6 linked regions of the Macaca fascicularis genome follow. The protein of the gene in region 4 purifies or fractionates together with the protein of the main gene of each other region. This does not show direct contact. Links are inferred from orthologs where the notes say so. Each region holds a gene or a part of one and is shown on either strand. Other genes may lie near its edges. The genes, in order: RMND5B, TCEAL9, ZMYND19, ARMC8, HTRA2 and MAEA.

What was found.
Region 1: the proteins of ARMC8 (region 4) and RMND5B purify together in Homo sapiens (affinity purification with mass spectrometry; 4 studies listed by BioGRID and IntAct, with this or other methods). This does not show direct contact. The link is inferred for Macaca fascicularis from reciprocal best matches to the Homo sapiens genes ARMC8 and RMND5B.
Region 2: the proteins of ARMC8 (region 4) and TCEAL9 purify together in Homo sapiens (affinity purification with mass spectrometry; 3 studies listed by BioGRID and IntAct, with this or other methods). This does not show direct contact. The link is inferred for Macaca fascicularis from reciprocal best matches to the Homo sapiens genes ARMC8 and TCEAL9.
Region 3: the proteins of ARMC8 (region 4) and ZMYND19 purify together in Homo sapiens (affinity purification with mass spectrometry; 4 studies listed by BioGRID and IntAct, with this or other methods). This does not show direct contact. The link is inferred for Macaca fascicularis from reciprocal best matches to the Homo sapiens genes ARMC8 and ZMYND19.
Region 5: the proteins of ARMC8 (region 4) and HTRA2 purify together in Homo sapiens (affinity purification with mass spectrometry; 5 studies listed by BioGRID and IntAct, with this or other methods). This does not show direct contact. The link is inferred for Macaca fascicularis from reciprocal best matches to the Homo sapiens genes ARMC8 and HTRA2.
Region 6: the proteins of ARMC8 (region 4) and MAEA purify together in Homo sapiens (affinity purification with mass spectrometry; 5 studies listed by BioGRID and IntAct, with this or other methods). This does not show direct contact. The link is inferred for Macaca fascicularis from reciprocal best matches to the Homo sapiens genes ARMC8 and MAEA.

Annotation. Positions count from the first base shown.
Region 1 is NC_088380.1:184,918,431-184,921,930, forward strand, and holds part of RMND5B (E3 ubiquitin-protein transferase RMND5B), read left to right. Parts: intron 1-2,014; coding exon 2,015-2,160; intron 2,161-2,283; coding exon 2,284-2,424; exon of another isoform or gene 2,425-2,900; coding exon of another isoform or gene 2,901-2,984; intron 2,985-3,066; coding exon 3,067-3,167; intron 3,168-3,383; coding exon 3,384-3,500. UniProt on the Homo sapiens protein: Core component of the CTLH E3 ubiquitin-protein ligase complex that selectively accepts ubiquitin from UBE2H and mediates ubiquitination and subsequent proteasomal degradation of the transcription factor HBP1.
Region 2 is NC_088395.1:109,735,736-109,739,375, forward strand, and holds TCEAL9 (transcription elongation factor A protein-like 9), read left to right. Parts: upstream 1-1,145; 5' UTR 1,146-1,274; intron 1,275-1,760; exon of another isoform or gene 1,761-1,828; intron 1,829-2,282; 5' UTR 2,283-2,359; coding exon 2,360-2,677; 3' UTR 2,678-3,140; downstream 3,141-3,640. UniProt on the Homo sapiens protein: May be involved in transcriptional regulation.
Region 3 is NC_088389.1:1,728,941-1,732,440, reverse strand, and holds part of ZMYND19 (zinc finger MYND domain-containing protein 19), read right to left. Parts: intron 3,495-3,500; coding exon 3,388-3,494; intron 2,793-3,387; coding exon 2,652-2,792; intron 1-2,651. UniProt on the Homo sapiens protein: May be involved as a regulatory molecule in GPR24/MCH-R1 signaling.
Region 4 is NC_088376.1:41,022,409-41,026,538, forward strand, and holds the start of ARMC8 (armadillo repeat-containing protein 8), read left to right. Parts: upstream 1-1,330; 5' UTR 1,331-1,354; coding exon 1,355-1,399; intron 1,400-2,196; exon of another isoform or gene 2,197-2,324; coding exon of another isoform or gene 2,325-2,327; intron 2,328-4,130. UniProt on the Homo sapiens protein: Component of the CTLH E3 ubiquitin-protein ligase complex that selectively accepts ubiquitin from UBE2H and mediates ubiquitination and subsequent proteasomal degradation of the transcription factor HBP1.
Region 5 is NC_088387.1:47,414,458-47,418,508, reverse strand, and holds the start of HTRA2 (serine protease HTRA2, mitochondrial), read left to right. Parts: upstream 1-1,251; 5' UTR 1,252-1,294; coding exon 1,295-1,800; intron 1,801-1,901; coding exon 1,902-2,106; intron 2,107-2,195; coding exon 2,196-2,390; intron 2,391-2,625; coding exon 2,626-2,658; intron 2,659-2,883; coding exon 2,884-2,989; intron 2,990-3,118; coding exon 3,119-3,188; intron 3,189-3,877; coding exon 3,878-3,973; intron 3,974-4,051. Other genes in the region: lipid droplet-regulating VLDL assembly factor AUP1, read right to left, coding at 46-573, 653-790, 871-920.
Region 6 is NC_088379.1:1,447,686-1,451,185, forward strand, and holds part of MAEA (E3 ubiquitin-protein transferase MAEA), read left to right. Parts: intron 1-1,845; coding exon 1,846-1,954; intron 1,955-3,500.

The sequences.
Region 1 (3,500 bases), on a different chromosome or scaffold from region 4:
TAATCCTAGCACTTTGGGAGGCTGAGGCGGGCAGATCACTCGAGCCCAGGAGGTCAAGACCAGCCTGGTCAACATGGCAAAACCAATTAGCCAGGCATGGTGGCACATGCCTGTAGTCCCAGCTACTTGGGAGGCTGAGGCATGAGAATCGCTTGAACCCAGGAGGCAGAGGTTGCAGTGAGCCAAGATTGCACCACCGCACTCCAGCATGGGTGACAGAACGAGACTGTCTCAAAAAAAAAAAAAAAAAAACACAACCAGTGGTATGTGGGAGATACTTTGATACCCTATAAATGTCCTGCTCTTTACCAAATTTCAGCCTCTACTCGTTTTACTATCCATTAATGATTGTTGTGTGAATTATTACTAAGCTGTCTGCAACATGGTGATTTTTCCTGCTTTGTCATTCTTTATACATTTATTAGTTGGCATTCAACTGTAAAGCTTTCCTTTCTCCTTTCATTATTATCACTTTACACTCATATTCTTATTGTATTCAATAGGTTATAATCCATTACGGTTATTTAATGTAATGTTCAAATTGTCTTAGGTCTGACCAGCGGGAGTCCCTGGTTCCTATGTCTTTTTTAAAAACTGAGCTACAATTCACTTACCATTAAACTCACTCTTTTAAAGTACAACTCTGGCCGGGTGCAGTGGCTCATGCCTGTAATCGCAGCACTTTGGGAGGCTAAGGCAGGTGGATCACCTGAGGTCAGGAGTTTGAGACCAGCCTGGCCAACATGATGAAACCCTGTCTCTACTAAAAATACAAAAATTAGCTGGGCGTGGTGTCGCATACCTGTAATCCCAGCTACTCGAGAGGCTGAGGCAGGAGAATCTCTTGAACTCGAGAGGTAGAGGTTGCAGTGAGCCAAGATTGCGCCAAGGCTGGACTGCACTCCAGCCTGAACGACAGAGCAAGACTCTGTATCCAAATAAATAAATAAAGTACAACTCTGGATGGGCATGGTGGCTCATGTCTGTAGTCCCGGCACTTTGGGAAGCTGAGGCAGGTAGATCACTTGAGTCCAGGAGTTCGAGACCAGTCTGGGTAACATGGTAACTCCGTCTACCAAAAATACAAGTATTAGCCAGTCTCATAACCCGGTCTTAAAATAAATAAATACATACATACATAGATGAAAATTTAAAAAATAAAGTACAACTCAGTGGTTTTCAGCATATTTACAGAATTGTACAATCTTCACCACTATCTAATTTCAGAACATTTTCATCACCCCCAGAAGAAACCTAACCCATTAACTATCTCTCCATTCCTCCCTCTCCCTAGCCTCTGGCAACCACTAATCTCTTTTTTGTCTCTATAGATCTGCCTATTTTGGACAGTTCATATAAAAGGAATCATATCACATGTAGCCTTTTGTGTCTGGCTTCTTTGATTAATGTGACCTTTTCAAGGCTTATCTATGTTGTAGCCTGTATCAGCACTTCATTCCTTTCTATGGCTGAATGACAGTCCATTGTATGGATGTGCCATATTCTTCCACTGATTGATGGACATTTGGGTTGTTTCCACCTTTGGGCTATTATAAATATCACTGCTATGAATATTCACTTACAAGTGTTTGTGTGGACATATGTTTTTATTTATTTTGGTGTATACTTAGGAGTGGAATTGCTGGATCCTATGGTAACCCTATGTTTAACTTCACAGTTAAACAGAACCCTATGCATGCTGTAGTGCGTGAGTTAAAATAAACACTCGGCCCATAGTAAGTGCCAAATCATCTTCATTTCACTATAATTTTACAGATGAGGAAATGAAGGCTTCCAGAGGTGAACTGGCTTTTCCCATTTGACCAGTTCCAAGTCAGACAGTTAAAAAGTGGCAGGACCTGGAAGAGAAGCTAGTTCTTTCACCCTGGCATTTAGGGCTGCCTCCTGGGCCACGGGGCTGGCATTTAGAATAGAGGAGGCAGAGCTAAGGTCTGCTGCCAAGGCAGGTGCCCCAGTCTGCCTCCTCTGTGTCCTTATTCCACTTTCTCTGCAGCCCTCCAGGGGACCCCTCTCTCAGCCACCCTCTCTCTGGTGATGTCACAATGCTGCCGGAAGATCAAAGATACTGTGCAGAAACTGGCTTCGGACCATAAGGACATTCACAGCAGTGTATCCCGAGTGGGCAAAGCCATTGACAGGGTGAGCACATGGCTGGCTCCAGGCCTGGGCTGGGAGTACCCTGAAGCTGGGATGTACAAGGACTCGAAGGAGAGCCAGCAAGAGTGCCCACATCACCAGGCCCTGTCTCTCCTCCTTTGTCAGAACTTCGACTCTGAGATCTGTGGTGTTGTGTCAGATGCGGTGTGGGACGCGCGGGAACAGCAGCAGCAGATCCTGCAGATGGCCATCGTGGAACACCTGTACCAGCAGGGCATGCTCAGCGTGGCCGAGGAGCTGTGCCAGGTACAGCCGGGCCGGGCAGGTGCTGACAACCTGCCTGCTCTGCCTTTCACCTGCTAGTTTTCAGTATATGAAGTCCCTGCCATTCTTCAATTCCGTTTATTTCCTAAAGGAAATCAGCGCCTCTGCCAGAAGTAGAAGGTAGCTTTAAAAACGTATATGATGAAAAGAGAAGTTACTCATTTCTAGTTAGAGTTGGTTGCCAGCCAGGGTTCAGAGCTGAGGCCTCATATCCCTTTATTGAAAAGGGAGATGGATGAGTGAAATGACAAAGTAGTACTTGTTAGGTGTTAAAGACACACTGGTGGTAAAAGTAAAGATTTTCCCTACTGTACTAGGAGGATTGAAGAGGAATAATTTTCTCGCCATGCAACTCCGTGTGTAGCCTGGGGACTGTCTCCACTGCTACGGTTGTAGGGTGGGGTTTGCAGTCCGCACTCTGGAGGTCAGCATGTCTACTCAGCCTCCCCAGGATCGAGATGGGAACAAGAGAGGCCCAAGTGGCTGGCACGAGACCAAGCTCCTCAAGCAAAGCCCAGCTCTCTCTGGCCTGTCTTTGGCGGGTGAGCTTTTATTATGTGCACAGCAGAGAACTTTGGAAACACCATCTTGCAGTGGTGGGATCTCTTCTCTCTCTCCTTGTAGGAATCAACGCTGAACGTGGACTTGGATTTCAAGCAGCCTTTCCTAGAGTTGAATCGAATCCTAGAAGCCCTGCACGAACAAGACCTCGGTCCTGCGCTGGAGTAAGGAGGCCCTTGGGTGGGCCAGCAGCACTCTGCTCTCCGACCTCTCAGGGCACAGGGCTTGACTGCGGTCTTCAGTTCACCCAGATGTACTTGACTTGCCTCCAGCCCTGTCTCAAGAGCCTCACACAGGCTTTTGGGGCCCTCCTCTCAGGTCCTGGCTCTCAGGTCCTAGCCCCCACCAGCTCTACACTAAACTGGCCCCTTTCTTCCCAGATGGGCCGTCTCCCACAGGCAGCGCCTGCTGGAACTCAACAGCTCCCTGGAGTTCAAGCTGCACCGACTGCACTTCATCCGCCTCCTGGCAGGAGGCCCGGAGAAGCAGCTGGAGGC
Region 2 (3,640 bases), on a different chromosome or scaffold from region 4:
TCATTTTTATTTTCAATAGATCTCAATTCGATGAGCATATGCTATTATTCCCTTCTGTCAGATGAGGAAACTCAGGCTCACAATGTGTACCTGACAATTGATTAACTGATGATTCTTCAGGCAGCACAGCTTCCTGGTAACACCACCATGAGGACTCTGGAATCAAACATTACTCTTTTTAAAAAAATTTTGAATCATCTTCCTCACAAATGTGTAATATAACAACAGCTTTCACTTTAAAAGCACTTACTATATGCCGGGCACTATTCTAAGCACTGTACATATATTAACTCATGTCATTAAAGTAATTTTGTCTTTGTATTTTCTGACTATAAAAAGATAAAAGTTGCCCAATTCAGTGGCTCAGGCCTGTAATTCCAGCCCTTTGGGAGGTTGAGGCAGGAGGATCACTTGACCCCAGGAGTTGGAGACCAGCTTGGGGAACATAGACCTTGTCTCTACAAAAAAATTAAAAGACTAGCTGGGCATAGTGGCACACACCTGTAGTCCCAGATACTTGGGAGTCTGAGGCGAGAGGATCGCTCGCGTTAAGGAGTTTGAGGCTGCGGTGAGCTGTGATTGCGCCACTGCAACCCAGCCTGGGCAACAGAGTGAGACTCTGTCTCAAAAAAAAAAAAAAAAAGAAAGAAAGAAGAAAGAAAAAAGAGAGAGAAAGATTAAAGTTACCTTTAAAAAAAGAATATAGAAGTATGAAGAATAAACAGTAAAAATTGCATTAAAACATCTCACTCTTGTTCCAGGGTCTTTTGTTGTTGTTTCACAACTGCTGCCAAGCCCACCCTGCTCCACAACAGCTAAGAACCAGATTGCAGAGGAAATGGAGGCTAGGGGAGGGCGACTGATGGAGGAGTTATCCTGGGAGCGGAAGACTGGAAGAGACAATTCTCGAAAGAAGTAGAAAAGTTCAATAGCTCCACAAAAAGAGGTAGCCCCTCCCTAGTAATCAGAGTCAAGCAAATAACATTTTTCCCTCCGGGATAGGAAACAACAGAAAAGACTGACAGGGCCAAATGTGTAAGTGGGGGGCGGGGAGGGAGCAGAGGGTGGGCCCACTTCTGCCGCGCTTTTGGTGGGAGTGGAAATTAGGGACCCGAGCTCACTGGTGACGTAGATCTCATGTGACCAGGAGTCGACGTGTGCAGAAGTCCTGGTAGTCTGGTCCTTGTTCCCGTCTGGATACCAGCTTCCTTCAGCAGTGCAGGCGGTGGTCCCTGAGGCTAGTGGAAGGAGTGAAACTTGCGGGAATTTTGCAGGTTGGTGTCAATGTAGGTGTTGACTGGGGATTTCTAGGGTGGGGGGGCTTAAGGCAGAGACTTGTGGGAGTGCCAGTCAGGTCCGTCTCTCCACCCTCCACCTCCAGGTCTACAGGAACTGATGACCCTTGGGAAAGGGACTAGGGGTCCTAGGAGAAGAACAAGTAGACCTGTGATAGTTTAAAAATAATCGTCCTCTGCTATCTAATCCTGCTTTCTGGACCCCCACCCTCCTCCCGAACCCGCCTCAGTCTTAAAGATAGTTTGGAAATAATCTGCTTTCTCACTCTTTGTTTGATGGGAAAAACGAAGTGACTTGCATGCACTGTGGATAGGGGGTGAACTGGAGGAAACAAAAGGTGGGAAACTTTCCATATTCGAAACCCTAAAGGAGGAAAGCTACGTGTGTCAGTCTCTGGCGCTGGTCGGCCCACCAAGCGCTCGCCCCACCCCCACCGTCCCCTCCCGTTTCCCGTTTGTCTGCAGGTCTGTTGTTTCTAGCAAGACCCAAAGCTAGAAAAGGAGGAGGAAGAAACTGACCCGATCAGTGCCAGGTAGGTGAGAGGAATATTATAAAGTCTCCTGGGGTGGAGACAAAGGTTGTAAGCTCCACTGTTCCTGCCGGCTCCCTTCCACCCCACCCCTTTCCCCTCTTCTTTTCTCTCCCCCTTCTCCTTTCCCCTCTTCCTCTGCCTGCCAGCCAGCCACCTTTCTCTTTTCTGGCCTGGTCCCTGTGTTAGGCCCTATGGGGGAAAAAGGATTGGGGAGGGCTGGGAGGCGGAAAGAAGGGCCTTGGAAAAGGTTAGAGGGAAGGACAGGAGAAGTGAGGAGGTGGAAAGTGGAGGTAAGAGGAGTGGGGATAGTGAAGCTCTGATTGCTGACTGGGCTTCTTAGTGGAAGATATTTTATAACAGTCTGAATAAAAAAAAATTAAATGCTGAGACCTCTGTCCACAACACCTGTCCACTCACCAAGTCTTTAACTTACTGTCTTCTTTTTGCTTTCTAGAAGTTATTGTATTCCAAGAAGAATAAGCAAAAAAATAAAAGAAGGAAGGAAGGAAGGAAGAGAGGTAGAGATACAAGATGAAATCCTGTCAAAAAATTGAAGGAAAACCAGAAAATGAGAGTGAACCAAAGCATGAGGAAGAGCCAAAGCCTGAGGAAAAGCCAGAGGAGGAGGAGGAGAAGCTAGAGGAGGAGGCCAAAGCAAAAGGAACTTTTAGAGAAAGGCTGATTCAATCTCTCCAGGAGTTTAAAGAAGATATACACAACAGGCATTTAAGCAATGAAGATATGTTTAGAGAAGTGGATGAAATAGACGAGATAAGGAGAGTCAGAAACAAACTTATAGTGATGCGTTGGAAGGTTAATCGAAACCACCCTTACCCCTATTTAATGTAGTTTACCTTGATTTTTATCTGACATTAACAATACCATATAGCTTGCTTTTTATTAGCATTTCCTGATATTCCTTTGTCCATATTTCTACTTATAACCTGTTGCTATTAATGGTTTTAGATGTATCTCTTGTTATCTGCATCTCATTGTTTATTGTATTTTGAACCAATCTACAAGTCTCTGTCTTTTAATAAAAGAACTTTACTCATTTGTAAAAAAGAGGTTCTTGGTAGGATATAAAATGGAAAAAAGGCTAAGTAATATGTGAATATCATATTTTTGAAAGGTAAAAAGTACATTTGTATATTACATATATGGACATAACTTGTGAAGGATGAAAGAAAGTATAGCCTCTCGGTGGTGGGATTATGAATGATTTTTCTCCTTTTGCTTATTTGTATTTTCTATATTCCTAAAATTAACACACATTATTATTGCTAGAATAATAAAAGCTTTATAACAAAAAGAAGCAACAAGCAGCACTTACTAGTTTATTTCAAAACGTATTGGGGCATTTAATATTTGTTGACAGAATTTTAGAAGCAAATGTGAACTTCAAAGCAACTCCAGACCACTTAGCTAGAATAATAAATTTTACATATTTTCTCATCTTTAAAATAAAGAAAATAATCTCACAAGGATCTGGTGCGGGCCAAATAAGGTAATGACTGTGAGCTATGTTTGACAGAGTTTTGTTCCCATTCCCAACTCCATAAGAGATTAATTTCAGGGATTTGGAAGGGTGGAGAAAGTAGTTCTTATCTGTGATTAAGAACAAACCCAAGGCTGGGTGGCTCACACCTCTAATCCCAACACTTTGGGAGGCTGAGGTGGGCGGATCACGAGGTCAGGAGATTGAGACCATCCTGGCTAACATGGTGAAACCTCATCTCTACTAAAAATACAAAAAATGAGCCAGGCACGGTGGCGGGCGCCTGTAGTCGCAGCTACTTGGGAGACTGAGGC
Region 3 (3,500 bases), on a different chromosome or scaffold from region 4:
ACGAGGTCAGGAGATCGAGACCATCCTGGCTAACATGGTGAAACCCCATCTCTACTAAAAAATGCAAAAAACTAGCCGGGCGAGGTGGCGGGCGCCTGTAGTCCCAGTTACTCGGGAGGCTGAGGCAGGAGAATGGCGTAAACCCGGGAGGCGGAGCTTGCAGTGAGCTGAGATCCGGCCACTGCACTCCAGCCTGGGTGACAGAGCGAGACTCCGTCTCAAAAAAAAAAAAAAAAAAAAAAAAAAAAAAAAAAAAAAAAAAAAAAAAAAAAAAAAGAGTGCTGCGGCAGGAGGATTTCCTGAAGCCAGGAGTTTGAGACCAGCCTGGGCAACACAGTGAGACCCATCTGTAAAATTAATTAATTACATTAAATAAACAGAGCAGGGAACAAAACCACTAGCCCAACAAGAACGAGAGACACCGCAGGCTCTGCCTTCATCCTGAGAGGCCCAGTGAGGAGGGGATGGGGGAGACTTGCAGGACTCCCTCCAGGGTGGCAGGAACAGCAGTTTGGGGGTGGCATTTTGGAGACCTGGGGACTGTCCCCACATCACCAACCAGTGTCTCAGGTGCTCCCACTGTTTCCACCTCGGCTGCACGGGGCTCTAGCATGACCCTGAGGTGACAACTGCAAAGATTCTACCCACAGCCACCAACCATCACCAAGCCCAAAACACTAAACCTTACCAGCGTTGCTGATAACCATCTGCTAGGGCAGTTCGCACTGCTTGCACCAGGAAAGGCTGCCCAGAGGCTTGAGGACATGCCCAGAAGCCCCAGCGCGACTGGGGAACATGTCAGCGAAGCGTGTGTGGCTGGGGACTCTCTGGCTCATCTGGGTTCCCAACCCCCATCCTGCTGGTCCCTCGGCTCTTCCCAAGGGCTCCATGAAGTTCACAGCCTGGCTGATTCTAGGGCCAGCAGGAACTGCCCTCCCACGTGGGAAGCCCATGCAAAGCACCGCTTTCAGGATCACAGGCAAGTGGGGGGCCAAGGGCTGAGCCCTGAACCACACATTCTCTGCTTTAAACTTTTGCTTAACGAAAACTGTTTAGCAAAAGAACACAACAAAAAGACCCATCTGTGTGCACAGAAAGGAATCCTGAGATGAGGAGAGAAGGGAGGAATCCTGAGGTGAGCAGAGAAGGAAGGAATCCCGAGGTGAGGAGAGAAGGAAGGAATCCTGAGGTGAGGAGAGAAGGAAGGAATCCTGAGGTGAGCAGAGAAGGGAGGATTCCTGAGGTGAGCAGAGAAGGAAGGAATCCTGAGGTGAGGAGAGAAGGAAGGAATCCTGAGGTGAGGAGAGAAGGAAGGAATCCTGAGGTGAGGAGAGAAGGGAAGAATCCTGAGGTGAGAAGGAAGGAATTCTGAGGTGAGGAGAGAAGGGAGGAATCCTGGGGTGAGAAGGAAGGAATTCTGAGGTGAGGAGAGAAGGGAGGAATCCTGGGGTGAGGAGAGAAGGGAGGAATCCTGAGGTGAGGAGAGAAGGGAGGAATCCTGAGGTGAGGAGAGAAGGGAGGAATCCTGAGGTGAGGAGAGAGGAATCCTGAGATGAGGAGAGAAGAATCCTGAGGTGAGGAGAGAAGGGAGGAATCCTGGGGTGAGGAGAGAAGGGAGGAATCTTGGGGTGAGGAGAGAAGGGAGGAATCCTGAGGTGAGGAAAGAAGGGAGGAATCCTGGGGTGAGGAGAGAGGAATCCTGAGTTGAGAAGAGAATCCTGAGGTGAGGAGAGAAGAATCCTGAGGTGAGGAGAGAAGGGAAGAATCCTGAGGTGAGGAGAGAAGGGAAGAATCCTGAGGTGAAGAGAGAAGGGAAGAATCCTGAGGTGAGGAGAGAAGGGAGGAATCCTGAGGTGAGGAGAGAAGGGAGGAATCCTGAGGTGAGGAGAGAAGGGAGGAATATTGGGGTGATGAGAGAAGGGAGGAATCCTGAGGTGAGGAGAGAAGGGAGGAATATTGGGGTGAGGAGAGAAGGGAGGAATCCTGAGGTGAGGAGAGAAGGGAGGAATCCTGGGGTGAGGAGAGAGGAATCCTGAGTTGAGAAGAGAATCCTGAGGTGAGGAGAGAAGAATCCTGAGGTGAGGAGAGAAGGGAGGAATCTTGGGGTGAGGAGAGAGGAATCCTGAGTTGAGAAGAGAATCCTGAGGTGAGGAGAGAAGAATCCTGAGGTGAGGAGAGAAGGGAGGAATCCTGGGGTGAGAAGGGAGGAATCCTGAGTTGAGTAGAGAAGAATCCTGAGGTGAGGAGAGAAGGGAGGAATCTTAGGGTGAGGAGAGAAGGGAGGAATCCTGAGGTGAGAAGGCTGATGCCTCCCGGGGTGTGGGGCACAAGCCCTGCTCACACCGAGTCCCAGCGCGGGCCCTGCCCTGGAGCAGGCAGCCCTTCTCCCCGCTTTGTCATGCCAGCTAAAGGGAGGTTCCCAGAGCCAATTATCAGAAGAGCAATGCAAAAACACATACCAAGATCCTTCACGCTCCCATAAAGAAAAGGAGGATTCCACACTTTGGGGAAAAACAATGAAAGTCCCAAAACACACAGAAGCATCAGGGCTCAGAGGAGGAACACGAGACCCTCTTGGAAACAAGAGCTTTGGAGGTGGCCCTCCTCAAAAGGCACCTCTGCCAGCATCACCGGGCCCTGAGAAGACCCACCTCTGTTTGCTGGAGGTCTCTTCAGCCTTGGGCCGCCAGCCCCACGGCACCAGCTGCAGGTTGTCCAGGCGATTGTCCACAGTCACAGCGTTGAGGTGTACCACCTGGAAGCCCGGGGCCACGCCCCCCCGGTGCCGCTCCCTACAAACAGACAGCAAACCCTGCATCTAACCCTGCATCGCTGCCTCCCACCCTCACAGATAACCAAAGTCCTCCAGGAAGAAACGTCAGCCATGTGATGTGATCAGGCCCCTACCCCTCTGGAGGAGGGTACCTCAGGCGGAAGCTGCCAAGAGAAACCCAAGCACCTGATCTGTGGCCCAAACAGGACAGGGATACAGGGAGGACCTGGGCCCTGGACTTCGGAGCACAGACAGCCAAGGGTGGAACGTAAAACCACCTGAGCAGATGGCCTGGAGACAGCTCCCCATCTGAGTGGTCCCCACCATGCACACCAGGGGGCTCAGCAAAAAACCAGCAAGGGGAGCAACCACCGTCCCTGCAGAGGCCACCAGTCCTGGGCAAGCTTCCAGCAGAAAGTCCACTTGGTGTTTGAAGCGTAACATACAAATCATTCATTCCTTTGAGTTAGTGGCAAAGCACACAAAAATAACTGCGAGATTCAGGGAAGGCAAGGCAGGGCCTCAGTGGGGCAGGGGGCTCCAGGCGCCCTGTGCCATCGGAGCTCACCCAGGAGCCCAGTGGCAGGGGGCAGAGGCAGCTTGGAAACACCCACCACAGCAGTTCATGAAGGAGTCTCCCAGAGCCCCTTCCTCGGTTCTTGTCAAAGGCATAGGCAAATATCTTAGCACCATTTCCATCTGCATCCACTTCCATTCGGGCCTGAGA
Region 4 (4,130 bases):
GAAGGACTACCTAAAATAAAATTCCTGCCTTCCAGGAACTCAACAGTTTGTTAAGGAACACAGACCCATAAACAGGGGTGATAAATGCTATTCTAAATTTGGAAACCAAGTACAGGAGGAAGACAGGAAAACAGTGAAGAGCAAAGTGAGGGAGAGGCTATCAGCTACAAGACCAGTTGGAAGGCTTTTGCTCTAGTCCAGGGGAGAGGTTACAAGAGCCTGAATTAGGGTGTGGCTATAGAAATGGAAGGAATACAAGTAATGTTAATAGGCTAATTGCAACCCTACTGTGAAAACCTTACTGGTTGCAAGCAGTACGAAGGTGAAACTTGTCCAACCAAGTCAAGGGCAGTGTTGCGCGCGCGCGCACGCACGCACACACACACACACACACACACAAAGTAGTAGGACAGCTGAATTAATCAACTATAATTAAAAGCATACTTTTATTTGGCTTCGGTTATCAGAGTGTTTTAGTGTGAAATATTTAGATATTTGCCCCCATTTTCCCCACTTAACTCAGAAGCTGGAGAAACATTAACACATATGTATAACGCTTTCCATGTTTTAGGTTTTTTCTTAGCGCTTCACATTTGTTGACTCCTTTATCCTCATTAACCTTTATTTTACAGATGAGGAAACTCAAAACATAAGGTTAGATAACTTACCCAGGGTAAAGCAGCTGAGAAGTAGCTGGGAAGAAGCTCAAGCATTCTGGCTATTCTCAACACTACACCAGAATAAACGGGGCCGACACACAACCTAAGGCAAGTCACACTTCTGTACTGGATCGTGAAACAATCACTCTTATGGTTGACAAAGGTTCTGGGATCGCAATTTCCCCACCTATAAAATGGAGATAACGACGCCGGGAGTTTGGTGCAGAGAGAGAGAGAATGAATATGAAAGTGAACTTCAAACTATGTATATGGCTCCACGTACTACTTTTTCCAAATATGAATACGGGAACCCACAAACTGCAATTTATCAGTCGGTAGAGCTCGTAGCGCCAGGGCGAGACTCCGCCTCTAGGGCCCCGCCCACCGCGAGCGGCAGGTGGGGCCGGCAGATCTTCTTTGCGCATGCGGAAACCGCTGCCCGCTCCCACCTCTAAACCAGGCTCAGAGTAGCTGCTGTTTCTGAGAGAACGATTCGTAGGACAGCCCCTGACGCGATTCCCTTTTGCCCTTCTTTCTGCGGGCCTTTCTGGTACTTGAGCGGTGTCCAGAGCGTGACCAGTTCTCGTCTATCCGGCTGTCTTTAAGGAGCGATGACTAGCGTTGGCCAATAGTTGGCTGTCGAAAGTGCCGGCCCCCGCGCCGGCGCCTGCAGCAGCCGGGTGGGAAGGCTCAAGATGGCGTGCCTGTTAGAGACCCCAATCCGCATGAGCGTCCTTTCGGTGAGTGACCCGCTGCGGCCGCCCGCCCGCCCTCCAGGGAGCCCCATCCCGGTCTCCACCATTCCCCCAAGCGTGGTGTGCCTCCTGGGCACCACCCCCTGGGGTGGTCCCCGGCTCAGTCTTGGGCCAGGGAGTGAGCGAGGGTGGACAGGCGGGATAGACGGGCAGAGGGGACCCCGGCCGAGCCAAAGACATTTCCAACTCCGGGAGCTCCTGCCGGTGCGGGTTTCCAGGATGGCGTCTGGCAGGCGGGGTAGCTGGGCTTACAGACAACTGGCCCGGCGGCGCGGCTTGGACTTTGCCAAGCGTTTCACTGAGCCTTCCTCTTAGAGATGCCGCTTCCCGGGGGCCGAGCGCTCTGCCTTGTGAAGCGCCAGGCTTGCAGCCGGCCTGGGAACGAAAGCTCACTCAGCTCTCCCGGGCTTTGGCAAGAAGAGGTGCAGGCTCCTTGGCCCCCATTTCCTCAGAGCTGCCAGGCCAAGTCTGTGCGACTTCTATTGCGTCCCAGCACCTGGGCACCGGCTGAAGCTGTTTGCTTTTTGGCAATGGTGATTCGTATCAGCTGCGACTCTTCCTAGTGTGTGTGGTTATTTAAGCCCCTTTCCTCCGCTCTGCTCAGAGGTCGCGGCTCTGAGTCAAAGGAACTCTATGTTCCCTGTGCCTGGTATTCCGTTTTTCTTTAAGGGGAGTCAAACATTGAAGGGGGGAAAAGGGGGAGAGATTTCCCCATTGTTGAAAGAAGGGAACGTATTGACATGCGAGGAAGTAAAACCTGTTTTGTTTTTTTTTAAAAAAAGTTTTTTTTAAAGAAAAAGACGACTTTCACCTTTCACTATGTTGCTCTTGAACCAGGACCAGGAATGAAAGTTACTGGGAGATAACTTCGAAGGATTTTGCAACAAATTCGAGCTGTCCGACTCTGAGAATGGTCAGTTTACCAATGGTTCATTTGCTATTGTTGGAAACAAGCAGGCACATACTAATTGACCATCTTTTAGACTTGTGGAAGCCCGTCTGATACTGAGAGGGTCGTTGGATTATAAATGACTTGTCGGGTTCCTAGAGTCTTGTAACTACAACCGGTTTCTTTTCTCTTCTCTGACTTGTCCCACAAACACCTATCTGAAAGCAGCTAGGACATTTGCTTATGATTCAGGGTTAGAGCGGTGTGGCAGACCTCAACCTTGAAAAGGCTTAAGTTGTCAATACAATAATAATTTAATTTTGTGAGCCTGTCAACAGATTTTTCCCCCGATCCATTTTAGCAGTCGTTTTTTCTTATTTTTAAACTGCAACTAAGGAAATACCGTTTACCTAAGTATTATATCAGATTAGCCTGTTACTCCATCACTGACTGTAATACCCAGGAATATTTTGTGGGAGTGCAGGCCAATGACTTTTACCTCATTATGTTAAAAAATAAAAATAAAAAAAGTGTGTGTCTTGGCTGTTCTCAGTTCCCCTTTAATTATGCATTTAGGTTTCATTTATTCTTCAGTTCACCTGAAGCTTACTTTTTGGATGTTGTCAACTTGTGTGATGCATATGATTTAAAGTTTTCATTTGTTTCACTTCCTTGGTAAATAATGTTTTCTGCTTATTCAAAAACTTCTTGAAGAGTATTTTCTATCAATACTTCTATTTACAATTTGCCTTTAGCCCTAGTCTAATTAGGGGCTTTTTTTTGGGGGGGGGAAGTAGGAGCTTTTGGGTAAATGATTTAAAATGTTTAAATTCACTGATTTTACTAATTTAAAGTAAAACCTGTACCTTTCAAAGTACTACCCAGAGCACCACGTTTTGAAACGCAAACTAGAACAGGAAGTATTCATCAGAAATTATCTTGAATGGTTGATTCCTTTAATAAGCTACAATGTACCAGTTATGTACAAGCTCTGCATTGTATACCTTAGAGAATGCAAGGATGAGATCAGAAATGTGTTTAAGGAGCTCCTAGTCTGAATGATGGTGTAACTTGATAAACATAATTTCAGCAAGGAGGCCTTCAAGTTGTTTTAAAGGATTTCCATTTGAGTCTCTTTATACCTTCTCCTTGGGAGATCTCATTGATTTTCTTATAACCTTAACTGATCAGTTCACACATCTACATTGCCAACCTTGACTTTCTTATACATCTAGTCTTGTATCTTAAATTGTGTGTGGATGACACCCATCGCTTCCAGCAAAGCACATTCCTTCTCCTAAGGGGAATTAGTTATGACTTCCCAATTTCTGTTAATGGTATTATCTTTTACTGATGAGTCACTGTTAAACCTCCTGAATAATCTCTGGTTCTTCCTTCTTTCATCCCCCTATATCTATCAGTTGTTAAGCTCTGTTGCTTCTTTATTCTTAGTGTTTCTCGTATCTTTCTGTTCCCATGACCACCCTCATTCAGGACCTTGTTGTTTTGTGCCTGCACTACCACAGCGTCCTTTTAGTTATTTTTACTGTCTCTAGTGTCTTACCCCCTCAGTGCAAGCCCAATGTCTACATTAATTTTCCTAAAGAACTCTGCACAGCTGCTCCTCGGTTTCTTTTCTTTATTGAGTTTGTTTTGCCTAAAGGCCCAAGTTTATATTCAGCTTCAGAGTTGAGATTCTTTATTTTCTTCTTTATCTTCTTTTTTGTTTTTTGAGATGGAGTTTTGCTCTTGTTGCCCAGACTGTAGTGCAGTGGCACTATCTTGGCTCACTGCAACCTCCGCCTCCTCAGTTCAAGAGATTCTCCT
Region 5 (4,051 bases), on a different chromosome or scaffold from region 4:
TTGACCACCTACCCAGTTGGCACCCGATACCTGTGCTAAACCCACCTGAAGCGCAGGAGCCCCTCCCGGCCATTGGTGGCCTCTTCCTCAGGGAATAGCAGCAGAGGAGTGGGGGGAAGCCTCGTGGAAGCACAGAATCTCTTGAGTGACTCCACCAACTCCCCCCGCCCATCCATCTCCATGAAGCCCCGAGACCAGCACACAAAGCTGGGGGGACTATTAAGTAGAGGCTGGGAACCAGGAGAAGAGAAAGCAAGAAGAAAAAAATTGAGGAAAATGAAAAAAAATGACATGTGGGGTAGAGGATCGGGGTTAGGGGTAAGGCTCAGTATCCTCCATGGGGAACGCGAGTGGGACAGGGGGGCCTTCAGCTGGGCCCCAGGGAACCGCCCCGTGGCGCTCTCGGCCTCGCTCTCACTCACGGTGCTACAGGTGGTGAGCAAATTGACTATGTTGTGGTCGAAAGGTGTCACGTGGTTGGAAATGAGGACCCTGACACTGTGATCCCGGAGTCCGGAGTCCTCCTGCCGGGCCACGAGCCCCAGCACCGCACACATGGTCCGCACTACGAACCTGGGGACACAGGCGGTGGTGACTGTGTGGCCTCGGGCCAGGCCCAGCTTTGACACTCCCCAAACGCCCGCGTCAGAACCTGCGAAGGACGCTGTCTGGCAGCGCGCAGCTGACCAGGAAGACGTGAATCCCGAGAAAGAGGCGCAGGACGAGGAGGCAGAACCCGACCGGCGCGTAGAGCAGCAGCGCGAGCAGCAGGAAGCAGTCACCCGGGAGCCTGGGGGCGAGAGGCGAAGTGGTCGGGCGCCGAAGGCCGAGAGGACGCAGGGGTAGGTCTCTTCCCGCCGGGTCTCTTACCGGTGCGAGTCAAAGAGCCGCTCCGGCCCCGGCCCTGAGGGAAGCTCCATAACTGCTGCTTCAGGAGCGCCCAGCCGTCGCCGCCGCCATCTTCGCGCCCGGCCGCAGGGGCTCCTGGGAAGGCGGAGTCTTTGGGCATCCGCCCGGGGTGACAGGACCCGAAGTCTTGAGGCGCGCCGGAAGGGCTAGCGGTCCCAGCATACCCTGCGGCCCCTTGGGCCGTCTCACAACTCGCGTCCCACGGAGACCACAATTCCCGGCATTCGCGGGACGGGGAGGAGTCGGCCTCCCGGAATCCTGGTCCCGACGTGCACTTCTGGAGGACTTCAGGTACCGGCGTGCCCCGCGTCCTACTGTCCGCCTGCTCGCGTCCCGGGTGCCGCCTCTGAGTAGGGCGGGCGAGGAGGCAGCCGAGGCGGAGCTGATGGCTGCGCCGAGGGCGGGGCGGGGTGCAGGCTGGAGCCTTCGGGCATGGCGGGCTTTGGGGGGCATTCGCTGGGGGAGGAGACCCCGGTTGACCCCTGACCTCCGGGCCCTGCTGACGTCAGGAACTTCTGACCCCCGGGCCCGAGTGACTTATGGGACCCCCAGTCTCTGGGCCCGGTTGTGTGTTGGGGTCCCTGAACCCCGAGCATGTCTGACGTCTGGGACCCCGGGTCCCCGGGCACAACTGACTGCGGTGACCCCAGATACCAGGACCCGGGAGGCCTCAGAGAACTCTGGAACCCGTTCGCGCGCGTGGCTGGCTGTGGCACTGGGCGCTGGGGGGGCAGTGCTGTTGTTGTTGTGGGGCGGGGGTCGGGGTCCTCCGGCCGTCCTCGCCGCCGTCCCTGGCCCGCCGCCCGCTTCTCCCCGGAGTCAGTACAACTTCATCGCAGATGTGGTGGAGAAGACAGCACCTGCCGTGGTCTATATCGAGATCCTGGACCGGTAATGGGGGTAGACCGGGAGGCACTGAAGCCACGGGCCGGAGGGCGGGCAGGTAGGAGGGGTCAGGGCCTCCTCATATCCGTGCTTTCCCTCCATTCCAGGCACCCTTTCTTGGGCCGTGAAGTCCCTATCTCGAACGGCTCAGGATTCGTGGTGGCTGCCGATGGGCTCATTGTCACCAACGCCCATGTGGTGGCTGATCGGCGCAGAGTCCGTGTGAGACTGCTTAGCGGCGACACGTATGAGGCCGTGGTCACAGCTGTGGATCCCGTGGCAGACATCGCAACGCTGAGGATTCAGACTAAGGTGGGGGCTGGGGTAGGCCAGGTCTGGTTGGAGCTGCTTGTTTGCTCGCATCTCCAGATGACAGGTCTCTTATACCCATTCTCCCTTAGGAGCCTCTCCCCACGCTGCCTCTGGGACGCTCAGCTGATGTCCGGCAAGGGGAGTTTGTTGTTGCCATGGGAAGTCCCTTTGCACTGCAGAACACGATCACATCCGGCATTGTTAGCTCTGCTCAGCGTCCAGCCAGAGACCTGGGACTCCCCCAAACCAATGTGGAATACATTCAGACGGATGCAGCTATTGATGTGCGTCCTGATAGGAGAGAAATGACACATGATGGGGGAGTGGGGAGAGGCTGTGTGGTACAAGCACCAACTGATATATGGTGGATGAGCCTATATACAGAGCTTAGGCTGCAAAAATGTGGCCACTCATTCATGGGCTGAGAAAGAAGAGAATTTGGAGAAAGTACCTACATCCTGGTATGCCCCCAGACTTAGAATCCTCAGATCTCTTTCATGTTTTCTCCTTGTCCTGCAGTTTGGGAACTCTGGAGGTCCCCTGGTTAACCTGGTGAGTGAGACATCCTTCCTTCCAAGAATCCCAGCCCCAGGTCTGTGTGGGAAGGGTAGGTTTTCCCTAATTCAAGGATGTTTGGTCAAGTTTCTGAGCAGTTCTTTGTTGGCTATCTCTCAACATCCAACTGGATCTCCCCAACACTTGCTGCTACTTTTGTTCGGGTGCCCCCATCCCCTACTATTTGTTTGGGCTAGGGAACTGGGGGATGTATCCCTGCAGGATGGAGAGGTGATTGGAGTGAACACCATGAAGGTCACAGCTGGAATCTCCTTTGCCATCCCTTCTGATCGCCTTCGAGAGTTTCTGCATCGTGGGGAAAAGAAGAGTGAGCCTGGCTTATGGGGAAATACGGGAGGGGCATTCATTGGGACTTCCTGGAGGGTGGTCTATTGGGAGAAGAGGGCAGGGAAGGAAGGATGTAGCTGGGTGGGGCTTATTTGTCCCTCTGTCACAGATTCCTCCTCTGGAATCAGTGGGTCCCAGCGGCGCTACATTGGGGTGATGATGCTGACCCTGAGTCCCAGGTATGAGCTTTAGGGATAGTGACATGTAATGTGACCAGTGTAATCAGAGGTGGGCACCTCTATTGAGCTTTGTTCTCATTTCTGTCTTTATCTAAAATGAACTGTGTCACACTTGAAATAATCACAAGAGCTGTCTCCCTTCATCATCTTGACTTTCTTATTCCACTCCACTTTGTACACCTGTCAGACTGATTTCATCCTGTTACTGCTTTGATTTCAAGCCTTCAATCCATTAACTTGGCATTTAAGGGCATTTTCCATCTGTCTGTAAATCAACTTTCTAGACCTGGCTGTAATACCTTCCTATATGAATACTCAGCCAACCTGATTTCCTACTCCCATGTTTTTTATTTATGCTGTTCTTGTTTTATATGGTTAATATTGGACCCATCCTTTTAGGCTCAGCTTAAGTTTTTTCCCCTTAAAGCTTCTTTTAGTACTCTAGAATGACATTAGTGCTATTGATTTCATACTGTTTGTCATTTGGTGCCCTCATGTGGTGTACATCTTTTATGTACATGTTGCACTTTATTGCTAGAAGACAGAAAGTGAGTTGCCGTTGTATTTTGTAGTACCTAGCGCATGTCCTGTCCATCTATTTGCCAATGTGTTGATGAGAGACTTGAGGTGGAACTCAGGATGGGGAGAATGCCTGGGTTTGGCTAATAGGGTGATCTGTGTACTTTCAGCATCCTTGCTGAACTACAGCTTCGAGAACCAAGCTTTCCTGATGTTCAGCATGGTGTACTCATCCATAAAGTCATCCTGGGCTCCCCTGCACACCGGTGAGGGAGAGGCTGCAGTGTGATATGGGGATGGGTGAGGTGTGCATGTGTCCTTGAACTAGGCTTTGTACTCCTTCT
Region 6 (3,500 bases), on a different chromosome or scaffold from region 4:
GTCTTGGGAGTGGGTCTCCAGGTGCCAGGGCCTGGTCAGGGAAGTCTGGCCTCACCCGTCTGGGGTTTGATTGATAGTGAGATAAGATGCGTAAACCAGGTCACGCAAATGAGATCTCATAGATACAACCACAGAGATTAAATTCCCTCTTCAGCAGCTCTGGGAGGAGGTGAGATGCCCGTTGAATGAAACAGCCCTGGTGGGCCGTGTTCTGGGCACGTCTTGGCGTAGGACGAAGGGTGACTTGTCTCCAGAGATGGAATGAGGGGGTTGGGTGGGGCTCTTCGTGGACTCAGACACACCCCCCCACACACTCCAGGAGGGAGATGCACAGGCACTGGAATCTCGGATGGCCATCCCCAGCCCCTGTACATGCACCCTGCGGGGTCGACCGTGTGGACTCACCCCCGACTCCCAGTCCCTGCATATGTCCTGCGGGGTTGGCCGTGTGGACTCTCCAGGCTGGGTCCCAAGCCTGGGCACCCCCCGCTCCCTGCTGCCCCAGGCTCCCCTCGTGGTGCCTCCACCACATGGTCACCGTGCCATCCATCAAGGGGCTGCGGGGGCACCTCCTGCGCTAACTCCAGTCTCTGCCAGTCACTGCCTCTTCTCCGAGGCCACCGTGAGCACCCAGCACCTCCTCAGCCCCGTGTTCCTGGGTACATGCCTTGTTCTGGACAGCACAGGGCTGACTCATACGTGGGACTTGAGGTTCTGTGCATTGGGGTCGCTTTGGGGGAGGGGCCTTGAGGGCTGAGGACGTGGGGTGCACAGGGGCCCATGTGAGGGTCGGGACATGGGGGTGCAGGTCCTCAGGACAGCCAGAGGGACGGTGACCCTGTGTGTGTGGGGGGGCATGGAATGGGGGCCCTTGGGGTGAGCAGGTGCCCTCTTGATCAGCTCGAAAGGGGCCTGTCGTGTTCTGCTTTGGTTTCTTAGTTGTCTAGCCACAGACTGGAGTGGGGTTCTGTCCTGGAGCGGGCCTGTGTGCATCTTGCAGAGTTGGCTCAGGAAACATTGTGGCTGCATGTGGTGTGTGGCAGGCTCAGGGCTGAGAGGGCTGGGCCGGATCTGCAGGGAGTCCAGCCTGTGGGCTGAGGGAGGCTGTTCTTTGGAAGGTTGTGCTGGGTGTCACTGCCGAACAGCAAGGACTGCAGTCGAGCAGACTACACATTCTTGGTCCGCTGGGTCCACTGGGGCCATAGGGGCCACGGAGGCAAGCATCCAGGGTCAGTGGGAGTCCTTAAGGTTTGGGTTCCTTGTAAACCAGAATCGCTTTGGAGAGGCCTGAGGGGCAGGTGCCATTTGCAGTTCTGGTGTTTTCCGTGGGTTGTGTGTGTGGCTTGGGTGCCCTGTCCCTGGGGGAAGGAGTGTCTGGTAGCTGCTTCTCCAGCCTCAGGTGAGCTGCACCTCCTGCCATCCCAGCCCCACTCAGCAGGTCGGCTTGGAGTGAGGCGATTACTTTGTACCTAGACTCTGACATAAACGCTGTTAGCTCAGATTTTTCAACTTAAGAATGCAGGCCGGGTACAGTGGGTCATGCCTATAATCCCAGCACTTTGGGAGGCTGGGGCACGAAGATGGCTTGAGCCCAGGAGCTGGAGACCAGCCTGGGCAACACAGCGAGACTCTGTCTCTAATAAGACGTTTTTTACATTAGCTGGGCGTGGTGCCGCACATCTGCGGTCTCAGCTTCCTGGGAGGATCGCCTGAGCCCGGGAGTTCGAGACTACAGTGAGCTGTGACTGTGCCACTGCACTCCAGCCTGGGTGACAGAGTAAGACCCTGTCTCTAAAAATTAAAATAAAAACGCAAACTTACATGTGCCAAAATGTTGTTTTTTAGACACGCGAGAAAGCACTTCAGCCAAGCAGAAGGGAGCCAGCTGGACGAGGTGCGCCAGGCCATGGGCATGCTGGCCTTCCCGCCCGACACGCACATCTCCCCGTACAAGGTAGGACCTGCGTCCGCGGGTCGGTGTCGTGATGGGGTGGGGATGCAAGGTGTGTCTCTGGTCTGTAACTGCTGCCATACACGGGGCAGGACGTGAGGGCCCTGTCCCAGCCACACGGCCTGTCCAGCCTGCCAAGACAGGCTTTTCTTGTTCAATTCCCATTTTGCTCGTAAGAATTTTGAATCAGGGCTGTGTGTGGCGGCTCACCCCTGGAATCCCAGCACTTTGGGAGGCTGAGGTGGGAGGATCACTTGAGCCCAGGAGTTTGGGACCAGCCTGGGCAACATAGTGACACCCCGTCTCTACAAAAAAAATTTTTTTGTAAATTAGCTGGGCATGGTAGCACCTGCCTGTAGTCCAGCTACCCAGGAGGCTGAGGTGGGAGGATAACTTGAGCCCAGAAGGTTGAGGCTGCAGTGAGCCGAGATTGTGCCACTGCACTCCAGCCTGGGTGACAGAGCGGGACCCTGTCTCCAAAAAAAAAGTTGAATGAGAAAGATTCAGGAAGCTTTTAAGCCTGGCGTGTTCAGCCGGGGCCCAGCTTCCTTGCCCTGTTCCCTGGTTCTCCTTTGTCTGCAGCCCGAGTCAGGTGTTAGGCTGCACCATCTTCTGTGGTTTCCATGGTCCTCGTGCGACGTTTTGTATTTTACCTGTACATATTGGAGCCTCCAAGTCTCCGTGGTCACTGGGGTAGGGGTGGGGGTTCTGCCATCACTAACCAGCACCCTGTGCTCAGACCTGGACCCAACCCAGCAGCCAGCTGCTCCCGGGTGAGTGGCTCCGCTCTGCACCCATGCCCACCCCTGCACCCACCCTGCCCCCACCGTGTGCCCACCCCTGCACCCACCCCGTGCTGTGTGCCCACCCCTGCACCCACCTCTGTGCCCACTGTGTACCCACCCCTGCACCCCCTCACATGCCCGTGTGCCCACCCCTGCACCCACCTCTGTGCCCACTGTGTACCCACCCCTGCACCCACTCACATGCCCGTGTGCTCACCCCTGCACCCACTCCCATGCCCACTGTGTACCCACCCCTGCACCCACCCCCATGCCCGTGTGCCCACCCCTGCACCCACCGCCGTGCCCACTGTGTACCCACCCCTGCACCCACCCGCATGCCCACCGTGTGCCCACCCCTGCACCCACCCCTGTGCCCACTGTGTACCCACCCTTGCAACCACCCCATGCCCACCGTGTGCTCACCCCCATGCCCACCCCTGTGCTCATCAACGCTGGGAACAGTTTCAGTTCCTGGAAAAGGGGGAAGCGGATGAAACCTCCTGGAGTTGACAGTTTGTTCTTTGAGCCTGGCGCCGGTCTCTGTCAGAGGCAGGGGTGTTTCCCAGCAGCCCCCACCCACCACCCTGTAGGGACTGCAAAGCCCTGGGCAGACCTAGACCTGCTGCCTTCTGAAAGCTGCTGGAAGCTTTCTCAGCCTGAATTCTCCTGGATCTCAGGCGTTTGGGACATCTCGTAATAAACCATCATTAGGTCAAGAGGATCTTCGGGGGTGGAGTCTAAGCTTCCCAGATTGTCAGTTGGCA